Linked DNA regions of Saccharomyces cerevisiae S288C. The gene in region 1 interacts genetically with each later gene. Each region holds a gene or a part of one and is shown in the gene's direction. Other genes may lie near its edges.

Region 1 (5,298 bases):
AAGAACAATAGAAAACGTATTTATGTCCAACAAGGCAAGTGACCAATCAGCACGCACGGCTTCCATCCTCAAGACTGATATTACCAGAGAAAACACAATCACCAGAAGCAGCAGCAGCAACAACGACAACTACCATCACCACAATAACATCAATAATTACAATGAATCGGCGAAGACAGGAGAGGACGCCAATAAAGAGAATATACCTAATTTAGAGGAGGAGATTGCGGCCTTTCGAATTTTTAGGAAAAAAAGCACTTCAAACTTGAAGTCGTCACACACCACTAGCAATTTGGTAAAAAAGACAATGTTCAAAAGGGATCTTTTAAAACAGGATCCGAAGAGGAAACTCCAACTACAACAAAGATTTGCATCACCGACTGACAGGCTGGTATCACCATGCTCATTGAAATTGAATGAGCACAAAGTTAAGATGTTCGGAAAGAAAAAGAAAGTCAATCCTATGAAACTGAACTTTAAAGGCAACCTTGCTGCCGATTCAGAGGATGTAGAAATCGATGAAGATGAGGAGTATTTCTACTAAAAAAATCTGCCTTTCTAGTCATCCAAAAATAGCCAAATGCTACACTAAACCAATAAGCAAACGAGTACATAAAGAATAAGTAAATAATAATTCAACAATACCTGATTTTTTTTTTCTTACATTTTTTTTATTATTCATTAAAAGCAACCACCAAGCTTTCCAAATTATGAAACCTTGATAAAATGGCTTCAAAATCTTGATCTGGAATTCCGTTTTTTTTGAAGAGGTCGAAAATTATTTGCTTGATTAGAATTTCAAAATCAATAAACTCGTCCATATCCACGCTGTTCCGTGTCAAACGCTGGTTAGCTTTAAAAGCTAGAAAATATTGATTGTTTTCAACATATCGACTTCTGTCTACTGGTGTAACCTCTGTAATAAAGTAGCGGGCACCCGTTTTCGATGGTCCATTTATTAGATCTAGTGACCTCTCCAATAAGATATCCCAATAAGCTATTGAGAATTTCAAGCGCGTGAAATTCAAATTTATCATCAGAGAACGATGTGCGGGAACTCCAGGGCTTTTCTGTATTTTCTCATAGACATTATTTATCAGTAATTGCAGCTGTGTAACAATAAAATTGACGCCACTTTCTTCGTCTTGTAGCTCCTCGTTAAGCTGCGAAATTAACCTGCTCGTATTCACAGTAACACACTTAACCACAGAATGTTCTTCGACATTAGAAATCTCTTGTATTTTTTGTACATCCCAAAAGAATTCAGACATTTCTATTGAACCATTCCAGAAATGTTGTTCCAGAAGTTTATTCTCTTGAACCTTTACACTATTTCGTATTTTCTCGGTTTTAGCCGCCCACTTTTCACGCGTTAACAGGGTAAGCTATATCAGATGTGACTTTTCTTTTTCACTCATCTAATGTTGTTTTTCGCGTCACATTTTTTGCCAATAAATAAATACATCACAATGTTCTATATTGTATATTCAATGGAAGTCATTAGGTTATTGGGCAAGATTTCAAGGAGGTAGCATACTGGTAAATATACGATCCATGAGCACATCACTTCTGTTTGAGCAGCTAAATTTTTTAATTTTAGTGGCAGCAGAGGCTGAGCTTCCCATCGCTCACTCTACTAGAAAGCTTTTGATGGATAATTCATGCAATAACTGTCAAATATACGAGCTTTATAACGAAAATTTGAAAGATGTCAAGACGGATAAAGATTGGTTCATGAACAAATTCGGCCCGCAAACAGTACATTTTGTCATTAGTAATACAATCAACTTTCCTTTTTATAAGATAGTTTATTTCGATCTTTTGATCCCGGTGGTATCACACACTTGGGTCCAGGATTCGGTCAAGACGAAGAGACATTTGAGGACAAATATGTATTCACCTAACCCATTTCATTTGCTCCGAGACTGTCAAGTATATATTTCCAAAAGCTCGTTTAATAAGTGTGAATACATATTATACTCTGATTTGCTTCATTTATTAGGAGGCACTTTAGTCAATTACATCTCAAATAGAACGACGCATGTGATTGTTCAAAGTCCCCAGGACCCGATCATAGCAACGGTCAGTAAATTGACATTTGGCTCTTTTTCCTCTTCATCGACCAACAAGCACACCGAAAAGCCTTTGAGAGAGTGGAAATTTGTCTATCCAATATGGATATTATATCATTTCAAAATGGCGAAGCCCTTGAAGGGCGAGCTTGCTACTTTGTGTGAGCTTGATATGCAGGACACCAGTGAGGAACAGTTATTCGCAAAATGGGAAGAGGTTATTGGCGATAAGCAGACATCATCATCGCAGCTTACTCTTCATCCAAACAAAACTTTATTCAAAAATCACCACTTTGCTATCTCACCAGATTTAAACTTTTTCACACCTTTGTATTGGTTTTTGAAAGGATTTATCGAGGATTTGGACGGCAAAGTAACTCCGTTGAGTTTTTCTGACGATCTGAAGTCTGTTTACCAAGCTTTTCCTGATATTGACTGTTATATCGGCCACTCTGCTAACTCACCGATACTAGAAAAAACCAAAAGCATTAAACCGGAAATTCATGTTGGGAACGTAAGTTGGTTGTTTTATATGTTTGCGCTGCAAAAATTTACACCTGTATCGCAATGTAAACTTATTCACCAACCATTTCATGCGAAATTATTTACTTCTAAGGAATTAACAGTCGCGTACACTAATTATTTCGGCTCCCAAAGGTTTTATATTCAGAGGTTAGTAGAAATATTAGGAGGACTTAGCACACCTGAACTAACAAGAAAAAACACACACTTGATCACGAAGAGTACAATTGGCAAAAAATTCAAAGTCGCAAAAAAATGGTCACTGGACCCGCAAAATGCCATTATTGTGACAAATCATATGTGGTTAGAGCAATGTTATATGAATAATTCCAAGTTAAACCCCAAAGACAGTAGATTTCAAAATTTTAAATTGGATGATAACATGGGATGGAATATCGGCCAAATAGGAATGGATCATTCATCTCTCCCAACTCCAAAAAACCTATCGATGGTGACTTACGACACGCAATCCATATCAGAGAAGCCGCCTCCCACAAATGATCAAATGGATCAAATTAACGATAACACCAATGTATTATCAAAGAAAGATGGTACGCCCATTAGTAGTTTTGAGAACTCAATTGATGAAAAGATTGACAAATTACAAAAAATATCAGGAGAGGTGGCTGTAACCCATTCTGGAGATTTAGAACGGAGTTTTGTTTCCAGACCTTCAAGGGCAAGTTTTCCAGTAGTTGACAGTAAAAAATCTAATTTACAAAAGAAAGACTCAAACTCAGATATTAGTATGGAAACAGAGGTTTTCTGTGAAGGACATGAAAAAAGAGAAGAAAAGGAGTTTACGAAACCTATTACGGAGTATGATGCACCTAAGAAACAAGAAATAAGGGAACAGTCACGCAAGAAGAATGACATAGATTATAAAAAAGAAGAGGAAGAAACGGAGCTGCAAGTTCAGCTAGGACAACGAACTAAACGAGAGATCAAAACTTCGAAGAAAAATGAAAAGGAGAAAGAAACCAATGAATGTCACATTGAAGTAGATCAAATGACGAATGAAAAGCAAGGGGAGGAAAGTACAGGAAAACTGATTTCTACGGAAGACGTCACTTCTAAAAAAGATACAGATAAATTCTCGCATTTGTTTGAAGGATTATCTGATAATGATGATCACATTAATGACGAAAAACCGGCAGTTAATTCCAAATATACCACACCCAAGACGTCTCAAAATATTACGAGTGGCGTTGATACTCCAACCACCGCGCAAACGCAAGTTTTTATGCCATCAAGTGGCAATTCAAGGTTAGCAAAGACACAAGCTGCGAAGAGATTGCATACAGATATTGAATCATTAAATGAATTTCAGAAAAACTTTAAAAGGAAGAGAATTGATAGCGAGGAGATTTCATTGTCCCAAGATGTTGAAAGGTCAAATAATAACAAAGAACTGGCTACTAAAGCGGAAAAGATATTAGCTAGATTTAATGAACTACCAAATTATGACCTAAAAGCGGTTTGCACCGGTTGTTTCCATGATGGATTTAATGAGGTTGACATCGAAATATTGAACCAACTAGGTATAAAAATTTTTGACAATATTAAAGAAACGGATAAATTGAATTGTATTTTTGCTCCAAAGATTTTGAGAACCGAGAAATTTTTAAAAAGCTTAAGTTTTGAACCGTTAAAATTCGCATTGAAACCTGAATTTATTATTGATTTACTGAAACAAATTCATTCTAAAAAAGATAAACTTTCTCAAATAAATATAAACTTGTTTGATTATGAGATAAATGGAATTAATGAGAGTATAATATCAAAAACCAAACTACCTACTAAGGTGTTCGAAAGAGCGAATATTAGATGCATTAACTTAGTCAATGATATACCGGGTGGTGTAGATACAATAGGCTCTGTTCTAAAGGCACATGGTATCGAAAAAATCAACGTTTTACGTAGTAAGAAATGCACATTTGAAGACATAATCCCAAATGACGTTTCTAAGCAGGAAAACGGAGGCATTTTTAAATACGTACTTATCGTCACCAAAGCTTCACAGGTTAAAAAATTTACCAAACTGATTAATGATCGTGATAAAAACGAAACAATTTTGATTGTTGAATGGAATTGGTGTGTTGAATCAATTTTTCATCTCAATGTTGATTTTACATCAAAGAAAAATGTTTTGTATCAAAAGAAAAATAACTAAAAATGGACACTATATATTACGTCATCTGACATACGACACTGATAACAAATAAATATATAATAATTATAAAGATGCGTTGTAGAAAATCTTATGTTCAACAAACAACCCACATATGATTAACAGACCATTTTAAATGTCTAGTTAGAAACAATTATTTGGTACTGTCTTTGAATTAGATTGTTTAATAAAGCATTTCTAATATAGGATACAAAGGGTCAAATAGTACCGTGAGTAGAATCATTTATTCCACACTTTATCCGCAAACCTTTTAATTTTTCTACAATTTCATGGATAAAAACAGATTCATGGCCAGAATGCGTAAAGCAACTCTATTGTACAATTTTCCACTCTGAGATATTCACACAGCGGAGAGCCCTTCTACTCAATGCGTCAAGAACAATGTTCCAAACCTAGTGTATTTTAGGTATATTATTACGAGAGTATCCGCAATGTTAATGACGCAAAATTTAATGGCTCAAGCCAACTACTAACGTTAGTAAGAACTTTTTGATCTAATAATTAAACAGGTTA
Region 2 (6,694 bases), on another chromosome or scaffold:
TTGCAGAACTTCTTATCTTCAAATACCAAATATCATTGAATTAATTGAATGTTATGAGATATTACTGCATCATTTTCCAAGCATGCTGAAAAGATATAATTATACCTCTGAACAGGAGGAAAAATTAAACTCTATCTTAATTTCGGAAAATGTCATACAGTCTTCATGGGATGAGATTGAAAGTAAATGGATACCGCGCATCAACAACATGAAATCTGCGAAGAGAATAAATCAATTACCACCCACTTGCGAAGATGAATATTGCTGCATTAGGTTTGTGTGCGAGAGTTTGTTTAATCTTAAATATATGGATCCTCAGTGCATAACATACCGAGCTTTCAATATGTTACAATCGAATGAGCTTAGCAAAATATCTAAATTTCCTGTCTTACTGCACTTTCAAAAATTAGTATTTCAAACACTCTATATTCTATTACCTTCACATTTGCATAGAATGCTCTCCATACCGCTATTGAGACATATATTAGGTACTGAATATGGGAATGCTTTTGGTTTATGGCAAGAGGGCGAAGCCTCAGACAGCAGAGAATATTTTGGATACTGGGTATTTCCAGAAGCCTCCTATTTCAACCACTCTTGTAACCCCAATATAACGAAATATCGTAAAGGTAATTCAATGCTATTCACTATGAATAGAGATATAAAAAAGGATGAGCAGATCTGTATCGATTATTCCGGGGTACTGGACTTACCAACAGTAAAACGCCGGGCCTTTTTGGCCGACAGTTGGTTTTTTGATTGTGCTTGTGAAAGATGTAAATCAGAATTGCAATCTGTCCATTAGCGCTTCTTCCAACGCAGATTTACTAACACTTAAGCTCGAAGATAAATCGTCATCTGAACTACCGCACTCCATTTCTTTATTAATACCATCCTTATCCAATTTGTCATTAGGCTTATTCTCACTATCCGATGTTTTCTTGTGAATGTTCAAAATTTTGGAAGTTTGCAAATGTTGTAACGCCTCATTTGTTACTTCTGTCTCAACTTCTTCAGAATCCTGTCTTTCCGTGGTCAGTGGGCTTGCGGATACATTTAATAGATTATCATTTTGTAAAGTAGGGGTATATTTATGTATTAAATCAGACATCCCTTCATTCACTTGATCATTTGAATACTTCTCAAGATCTCTTTTTTTCTCCAATTGTAGTTGTAAAAGCTCTAAGTGTTCAGCAAATAATTTATATGTTCTCTTTTTAAGAAAAAATTCAGGCGTTTCAAATATTTTTGATAAATTCTGCCAATCTATTTGATCTTGTGAATAATTCAAATTTGATACCATTGTCCAAAGCTGTCGCTCCTTTGTTCCATTCCACTCAAATTTGGGAGGATCCAAGAATCCCTGTGGTCTCCTACCCTTAACTTTGATATATACAACTGTGTTTGTACTATTCATAATCATGAAAGTCAAGTAGGAAAATGCACAGCAGTACAATTATGTATGTCTCTTCTTGATAAGTATTCACTAACACCCCTTTATTTTCACCTTGAATCATTTTTTTGACGAGTGCAGTGCGTCTAGAAATAGTGTACTTGAAGAAAAAAGCCATCTCTGTAATAGAAGCACAAAACAAGAGAAAGTATTTGAGTCAATACAAAACTACAAGTTGTGGCGAAATAAAATGTTTGGAAATGTCGAGGGAGTCGAACGACACAATACAGAGCGATACGGTTAGATCATCCTCTAAATCAGACTATTTTAGAATCCAGCTAAATAATCAAGACTACTATATGTCAAAACCCACCTTTTTGGACCCATCGCACGGTGAAAGCCTGCCCTTAAACCAGTTTTCACAGGTCCCAAACATCAGGGTGTTTGGTGCTTTACCCACAGGGCATCAAGTATTGTGCCACGTCCATGGCATTCTACCTTACATGTTCATCAAGTATGATGGACAAATAACTGACACGAGTACATTGAGACACCAAAGATGTGCCCAAGTTCATAAAACGCTGGAAGTAAAAATTAGGGCATCCTTTAAAAGGAAAAAAGATGATAAACACGATTTAGCCGGCGACAAACTTGGAAATCTCAATTTTGTCGCTGATGTCTCTGTTGTAAAGGGTATACCATTTTATGGTTACCACGTTGGCTGGAATCTGTTTTACAAAATTTCTTTGCTTAATCCTTCTTGTCTAAGTAGGATTTCGGAATTGATTAGAGATGGCAAGATTTTCGGAAAGAAATTCGAAATTTATGAATCACATATTCCTTACTTGCTACAATGGACCGCAGATTTTAACTTATTTGGATGTTCATGGATAAACGTGGATAGGTGTTATTTTCGCTCTCCTGTTTTAAATAGTATACTGGACATAGATAAGCTGACAATTAATGATGATCTTCAGTTGTTACTAGATCGATTTTGTGACTTCAAGTGTAACGTACTCAGTAGAAGGGATTTTCCACGGGTTGGAAATGGATTGATTGAGATAGATATACTACCGCAATTCATCAAAAATAGAGAAAAGTTACAGCATAGAGATATACATCACGACTTTTTGGAAAAACTGGGAGATATTTCTGACATACCTGTCAAACCATATGTATCCTCTGCTAGGGACATGATAAATGAACTTACCATGCAACGAGAGGAGTTGTCCTTGAAGGAATATAAAGAACCACCAGAAACAAAGCGCCATGTGAGTGGTCATCAATGGCAATCTTCTGGAGAGTTCGAAGCGTTTTATAAGAAAGCACAACATAAAACAAGTACTTTTGATGGTCAAATACCAAATTTTGAGAACTTTATAGATAAGAATCAAAAATTCTCAGCCATAAATACGCCCTATGAAGCATTACCGCAATTGTGGCCAAGGCTTCCACAGATTGAAATAAACAATAATAGTATGCAAGATAAAAAGAACGACGACCAAGTTAATGCATCGTTCACCGAATACGAGATATGTGGTGTTGATAATGAGAACGAAGGTGTAAAAGGAAGCAATATAAAGTCTCGGTCTTATTCATGGTTACCGGAAAGCATTGCGTCTCCGAAAGATTCTACTATACTATTAGATCATCAAACAAAATATCACAATACGATAAATTTTTCAATGGATTGTGCTATGACGCAAAATATGGCAAGTAAACGAAAACTTAGATCATCTGTTTCTGCTAATAAAACATCGTTGCTGTCTCGGAAAAGAAAGAAGGTTATGGCTGCGGGATTACGCTATGGAAAAAGAGCCTTTGTTTATGGTGAGCCTCCTTTCGGTTATCAAGATATTCTGAATAAATTGGAAGACGAGGGATTCCCAAAAATAGACTATAAGGACCCTTTCTTTTCGAATCCAGTTGATCTAGAAAATAAACCTTACGCGTACGCAGGTAAGAGGTTTGAAATAAGCTCGACACATGTATCAACGAGAATACCCGTCCAATTTGGGGGAGAGACCGTATCAGTTTATAACAAGCCAACTTTCGACATGTTTTCCTCCTGGAAATATGCGTTAAAACCACCTACGTATGATGCTGTTCAAAAATGGTACAATAAAGTACCCTCGATGGGAAACAAAAAAACTGAGTCTCAGATAAGCATGCACACCCCTCATAGTAAGTTTTTATACAAATTTGCTAGTGACGTTTCTGGAAAACAAAAAAGAAAAAAAAGTAGCGTTCACGATTCTCTTACTCATCTGACACTTGAGATTCATGCAAACACGAGAAGTGATAAAATTCCAGACCCTGCAATAGATGAAGTTTCCATGATTATATGGTGTCTTGAAGAAGAAACTTTCCCTTTAGATTTGGATATCGCTTACGAAGGGATTATGATAGTCCACAAAGCTTCTGAGGATAGTACATTTCCTACTAAAATTCAACATTGTATTAACGAAATTCCCGTGATGTTCTATGAAAGTGAATTTGAAATGTTTGAGGCTCTAACTGATTTGGTATTACTTCTTGATCCTGATATTCTTTCCGGTTTCGAAATACATAATTTTTCGTGGGGTTATATAATTGAAAGGTGTCAAAAAATACATCAATTTGACATTGTCAGGGAACTTGCCAGAGTCAAATGCCAAATTAAGACGAAGTTGTCAGATACTTGGGGATATGCCCATTCCTCAGGAATTATGATTACCGGAAGACATATGATTAATATATGGAGAGCGTTGAGGTCCGACGTAAATTTAACGCAATATACTATTGAAAGTGCTGCGTTCAATATCCTCCATAAACGATTACCTCACTTTTCATTTGAGTCATTAACTAATATGTGGAACGCTAAAAAGAGCACAACCGAATTAAAGACTGTGTTAAATTATTGGTTATCAAGAGCTCAGATAAATATACAACTATTAAGAAAGCAGGATTACATTGCTCGAAATATCGAACAGGCAAGATTGATAGGAATAGATTTCCATTCTGTATATTACAGAGGATCACAATTTAAAGTTGAGTCTTTTTTAATCCGAATATGCAAGTCCGAAAGTTTTATCCTTCTTTCTCCAGGCAAAAAGGATGTTCGTAAGCAAAAAGCACTTGAATGTGTGCCTTTGGTTATGGAGCCAGAATCTGCTTTCTACAAAAGTCCTTTAATTGTGCTGGATTTCCAATCATTGTATCCATCCATTATGATTGGATACAACTATTGCTATTCGACTATGATAGGAAGAGTGCGAGAAATAAACTTAACGGAAAATAACCTTGGAGTATCTAAGTTTTCATTACCAAGAAACATTTTAGCTTTATTAAAAAATGATGTAACTATCGCTCCAAATGGTGTTGTTTATGCCAAGACCTCTGTTAGAAAATCAACGTTATCCAAAATGTTAACAGATATCCTTGATGTCAGAGTGATGATAAAGAAAACAATGAACGAAATAGGTGATGACAACACTACCCTAAAAAGGCTTTTGAATAACAAACAGTTAGCACTAAAATTATTGGCGAATGTCACCTACGGTTATACATCAGCTTCATTTTCTGGACGAATGCCATGCTCTGATTTAGCTGATAGCATTGTACAAACAGGCAGAGAAACATTGGAGAAAGCAATAGATATTATTGAGAAAGATGAAACTTGGAACGCCAAAGTTGTCTATGGAGACACAGATAGTTTATTTGTATATCTACCTGGAAAAACTGCTATTGAGGCTTTTTCTATAGGACATGCTATGGCAGAAAGAGTTACTCAAAACAATCCAAAACCAATCTTTTTGAAGTTTGAAAAAGTATACCATCCCTCCATATTAATTAGCAAAAAAAGGTACGTAGGATTTTCCTATGAAAGTCCTTCGCAGACCCTTCCTATTTTTGATGCTAAGGGTATTGAAACTGTTAGAAGGGATGGTATCCCAGCCCAGCAGAAGATTATTGAAAAATGTATTCGATTACTTTTTCAAACCAAAGACCTGTCAAAAATAAAAAAGTATCTTCAAAATGAATTTTTTAAGATTCAAATAGGAAAGGTATCTGCCCAAGATTTTTGTTTTGCAAAAGAAGTTAAATTAGGAGCGTATAAAAGCGAAAAGACAGCCCCTGCAGGTGCCGTGGTTGTAAAAAGAAGAATAAATGAAGACCATAGAGCAGAACCCCAATACAAGGAGCGTATACCTTACCTTGTTGTTAAAGGAAAGCAAGGACAACTGCTTCGGGAAAGATGCGTATCACCAGAAGAGTTCTTAGAAGGTGAGAATTTAGAGTTAGATTCGGAGTATTATATAAACAAAATTCTGATACCTCCTCTTGATAGATTGTTCAATTTGATTGGTATAAATGTTGGCAACTGGGCTCAGGAAATAGTAAAATCCAAAAGGGCGAGCACAACTACTACAAAAGTGGAAAACATAACAAGAGTAGGAACTTCTGCAACATGTTGTAATTGTGGTGAAGAATTGACTAAAATATGTTCACTTCAGTTATGTGATGACTGTTTAGAGAAAAGAAGCACCACAACCTTATCATTTCTCATAAAGAAATTAAAGAGACAAAAAGAATACCAAACACTAAAGACCGTGTGCAGGACGTGCAGTTATCGTTACACTTCCGATGCAGGCATCGAAAATGACCATATAGCTAGTAAATGCAATTCATATGACTGTCCAGTATTTTACTCTCGTGTCAAAGCAGAAAGATACTTGAGAGATAATCAATCTGTTCAAAGGGAAGAAGCATTAATATCTCTAAATGATTGGTAATCTAGACACAGATATGTCTCGCAAAATGATGAGTAGTTATTTGTTTCTATGTATAACGTTGTTATATACAAGAAAGAAAAAAATCATTTCTTTGATTCTTGACGTTGAGATAGACGGTATCTATAATATGCAAAAAAGGAGGCCAGCAATGCTGAGAGTGAAATAAGGAATCTCTTTGAATTAGTGAAAGACTTTTGAGGAATCTTCGTATCCTCTAAGAGTGGATTGCTACTTTGAAAAACTACAATTTTATTATTATCGTATAAGTTCCCCACACATTTCCAACCTTTTAATTCGATCTCATTAATTTCGTTCAAAACTCTATCTGGTGGGGACCCAGATGCATTAATAACGCCAAATAAGTCCGTAAAATTGATGTTAAAGACACTGTGATCAAAGTTGTTTGACAGGGTCATATCCTTATTGTTTTCTAATGAGTGTAACAATATGTTATTCCCTTGAAGTACTTTTTTAGTAGTTTTACTCTTTTTTCCTCCTCCGTTTGAACCTAAAAATACACTTATTC
Region 3 (3,394 bases), on another chromosome or scaffold:
CAAAATTCTCCATCGAATTTAAGAGATTGGTTGGCCCCATTAAATGCATATGATAGTGACGATGTTCCAGTTCCAAAGTATTCGCCAAATGATAAAGTCAGTGTACCGTCGGAAGACAAACAAGAACTTGAACAAAAAAGACTACAACAGTTAGAAAGCGATCCTCCCCCTTGTGATGACTATTAAAAAGTGCAGGTAACAAGTCATATACTCGCAGCTTGCGCCGTGTTGGAACTAGGCGCCTTAATCATGTTTGCATATTTCCACTATCCCAGCCACGTAATGATCCATGACATTAACATAGAAAAAAAAAATCGAAGCATGCACAAACCTGAGATTTATATATGTTCATGTGTACTTAATATACGTTTAATGATTAAAACTATAGCCGTCCTCAGGCAAACTGAGATAAGAAACGAAAAAATAGCAGTAACGTAAACGTTATTCTATATTTATAAAGACGTCAAAAAAAAAAGTGATTGTGATATTGAGATGTAAGCTATATACCGAACTTTGAGCTCCCTCACGTGGAAAATATGATAGATTGTTGCCTCATCATTGCGGAACCGCATTTTTTTTTTGTATTTTTGCCTCCCTAGTTTCAAAATGCACCAAATTCTCCCCTTAATGCTTTTTGTTTTAAGTCCCAAATAGCCATCCTTTCATCATCGGGCAAGATAGAAATTTGACTGTCATTCAGTTGTAACACCTGTTTCAGTAGTTCTTTCTGTTTGTTAAGCACAGCTGGATCCACCACCTCGTTCACGCTATTGTTATTCGTAGCCGATGCCTCTTCTTGCGGCCTGGAAGCTAACGGGATCAAATCATCCACTTTACATATCCCATTCGTTAGCAATAATTCAGCCGTAACAAAACTCAACTGTGGACACAGCTCTAATAGCGAAACAGCATCTTCAGGATGCGCTCTTGTCCATTCTTGGAATTTTTGTAAAAATTTCAACTGCACCTCTTTCGGTTTTTTAGCTAGTTCGCTCGATATCATCATAGCAGGGGTGGTCATGTTTATGTTAACGTCGATACCAGAGGGCAATTCTGGAAACTTTTGACTTAGAAAATTGGCATTTCCGCTGTTTTGAAAGTCCGGCCCATTACTATTATTATTATTATTTCCATTGTTGTTATTGTTCCCATTAATGTTGTTGTACTGTTGTTGTTGCTGTTGTGAAACTCCCGATATATCACTATTGCTGGAGTAACCGCATTTCAAAAACCTAGAGCCTAATTGGTATCCATTCAAATTACGTACTGCGCTGGCACTGGACTCTAAATCTCTAAATTCAATAAACGCGTACCCTTTCGACCTACCAGTTTGGGGGTCGAACATCATTTTCAAATTGATCACGGGCCCAACATTACTACATAAATCAAGTATCTGCTCCTCTGTTTGATCGTATGGTATAGAACCCAGATACACCACTCGGGATGGTGGGTTGTTCTGTACCCCCGCATTCACACCGCTCTGCCTATTCATTTTATCGTTTTCGTCTTTTCTTTCAATGTATTGATAATTAACGTGTCTATGTGATGCTATTGGTATATAGCCTTTCTTGTATATCCCTCTAACAATTATTACAAGTGTTTCTGTTTAAAGCAAGTGCTAGAAGTGACTCGGTTCTCTTAGGAAATTCTAAACGCAAGATTTCTCTTATGGTGATTGTAACAATTATGAGATACTTCACTAGCCCACCTTAACTTTACGGACCTTCTTTTGAAACGATGCTTCGAATGACAACGCCTTTTTGATATATAATATCCAATTTCATTATAGGGAAATTTTCAACTCTTACCCGCCCCACTGTGCTGATATGACCAAGTGATCACTCGATGATGGGACTACGTATTGAAAAATATTGAATGAAAAATTACTCAAGCAGCAGAACATTCACAGTGTAGTCAGTCCGCATAAGAGCATTCATCATGGATAGTAAGGAAGTACTGGTACATGTTAAGAATCTAGAAAAGAACAAAAGTAATGATGCTGCAGTTCTAGAAATCTTACATGTCTTGGATAAAGAATTCGTCCCCACTGAAAAGTTACTGAGAGAAACAAAAGTTGGTGTGGAAGTCAACAAGTTTAAAAAATCCACTAATGTAGAGATCAGCAAACTCGTGAAGAAAATGATTAGCTCTTGGAAAGACGCAATTAATAAAAATAAGCGTTCCAGGCAAGCACAGCAGCATCATCAAGATCATGCGCCAGGCAATGCAGAGGACAAGACAACTGTAGGTGAGTCCGTGAATGGTGTTCAACAGCCGGCCTCCTCCCAGTCAGATGCCATGAAACAAGACAAGTACGTCAGCACTAAACCAAGAAATAGTAAGAACGATGGTGTGGATACAGCTATATACCACCACAAATTACGTGATCAGGTACTAAAAGCACTCTACGACGTTTTGGCCAAGGAAAGTGAGCATCCACCTCAATCTATTTTGCATACTGCAAAGGCCATAGAAAGTGAAATGAATAAAGTTAACAACTGTGACACCAACGAAGCCGCTTACAAAGCCAGGTATCGTATAATTTATTCAAACGTCATATCAAAGAATAACCCAGATCTCAAACATAAAATTGCCAACGGTGATATAACACCTGAATTCTTAGCTACATGCGATGCCAAGGATCTGGCACCAGCGCCCTTAAAGCAAAAGATAGAAGAAATTGCCAAGCAAAACTTATACAACGCACAGGGTGCCACCATAGAAAGGTCAGTCACCGATAGATTTACATGTGGTAAATGTAAAGAGAAGAAGGTATCTTACTATCAATTGCAAACAAGATCTGCGGATGAACCATTGACCACTTTCTGTACATGTGAAGCATGTGGTAACAGATGGAAATTCTCTTAGAATAGAAAAAGATGAGAGTAGCCACGGACAGAGCAAAGGAAACAATAGGAGGAAGGGACAGAAAAGCCTGTTCTGACTCTATTCGTAGTAGTATTTGACAGCCGGAATCCAGGAAAAGAAAAAGCCAAACATACAACCATATCCAATTTGTTGAAATGGCATATTCATATACGATGTACATATATACATATACTGCTGGTGTTAATTTTTTTTGTCTGTCTCACGTAAAATCTTTTGTTCGTCCAGTTACTTTTAATTATTTATGATTTTCATGTTTTCTTTATTAATCTTCTATGCATTAAATATGGCTCGGTCAGAACTAAAGAAATACAATTTAAGATGTAACAAAACCGACGAATAAAAAGTTAGAATAAACACAAGAAGCAGAAAGTAGATACTACAGCCACACATAATGCTAAGAGTTATATGGAAGCATAGTTCCAGAGTCACTCGTTCGATAGAACTATCGAACATTTCTACCACTAATCACACCAGGAGTTTAAGGAGGCTTTCCTGGATTTCTCCG

What was found.
Region 2: mutations in RTT107 (region 1) and REV3 impair growth when combined (synthetic growth defect), as found in Saccharomyces cerevisiae (3 studies listed by BioGRID).
Region 3: mutations in RTT107 (region 1) and DST1 together harm fitness more than expected from each alone (negative genetic interaction), as found in Saccharomyces cerevisiae (3 studies listed by BioGRID).

What each region holds. Positions count from the first base shown.
Region 1 is NC_001140.6:401,412-406,709, forward strand, and holds RTT107 (Rtt107p), read left to right. Parts: upstream 1-1,554; coding exon 1,555-4,767; downstream 4,768-5,298. Other genes in the region: SPO12 (Spo12p), read left to right, coding at 23-544; SPO16 (Spo16p), read right to left, coding at 675-1,271. UniProt on the Saccharomyces cerevisiae protein: Required for resumption of chromosome replication after DNA damage, specifically in S phase. Is recruited to chromatin in the presence of RTT109 and RTT101 in response to stalled replication forks and acts as a scaffold during DNA repair.
Region 2 is NC_001148.4:232,067-238,760, reverse strand, and holds REV3 (DNA-directed DNA polymerase), read left to right. Parts: upstream 1-1,653; coding exon 1,654-6,168; downstream 6,169-6,694. Other genes in the region: SET6 (Set6p), read left to right, coding at 1-805; ATG29 (Atg29p), read right to left, coding at 782-1,423; MRX4 (Mrx4p), read right to left, coding at 6,252-6,694. UniProt on the Saccharomyces cerevisiae protein: Nonessential DNA polymerase. Required for DNA damage induced mutagenesis. Involved in DNA repair, mitochondrial DNA repair and translesion synthesis.
Region 3 is NC_001139.9:415,545-418,938, forward strand, and holds DST1 (transcription elongation factor DST1), read left to right. Parts: upstream 1-1,938; coding exon 1,939-2,868; downstream 2,869-3,394. Other genes in the region: RIM8 (Rim8p), read left to right, coding at 1-186; RNA15 (Rna15p), read right to left, coding at 602-1,492; YGL041C-B (uncharacterized protein), read right to left, coding at 3,160-3,342; DPC13 (Dpc13p), read left to right, coding at 3,281-3,394. UniProt on the Saccharomyces cerevisiae protein: Necessary for efficient RNA polymerase II transcription elongation past template-encoded arresting sites.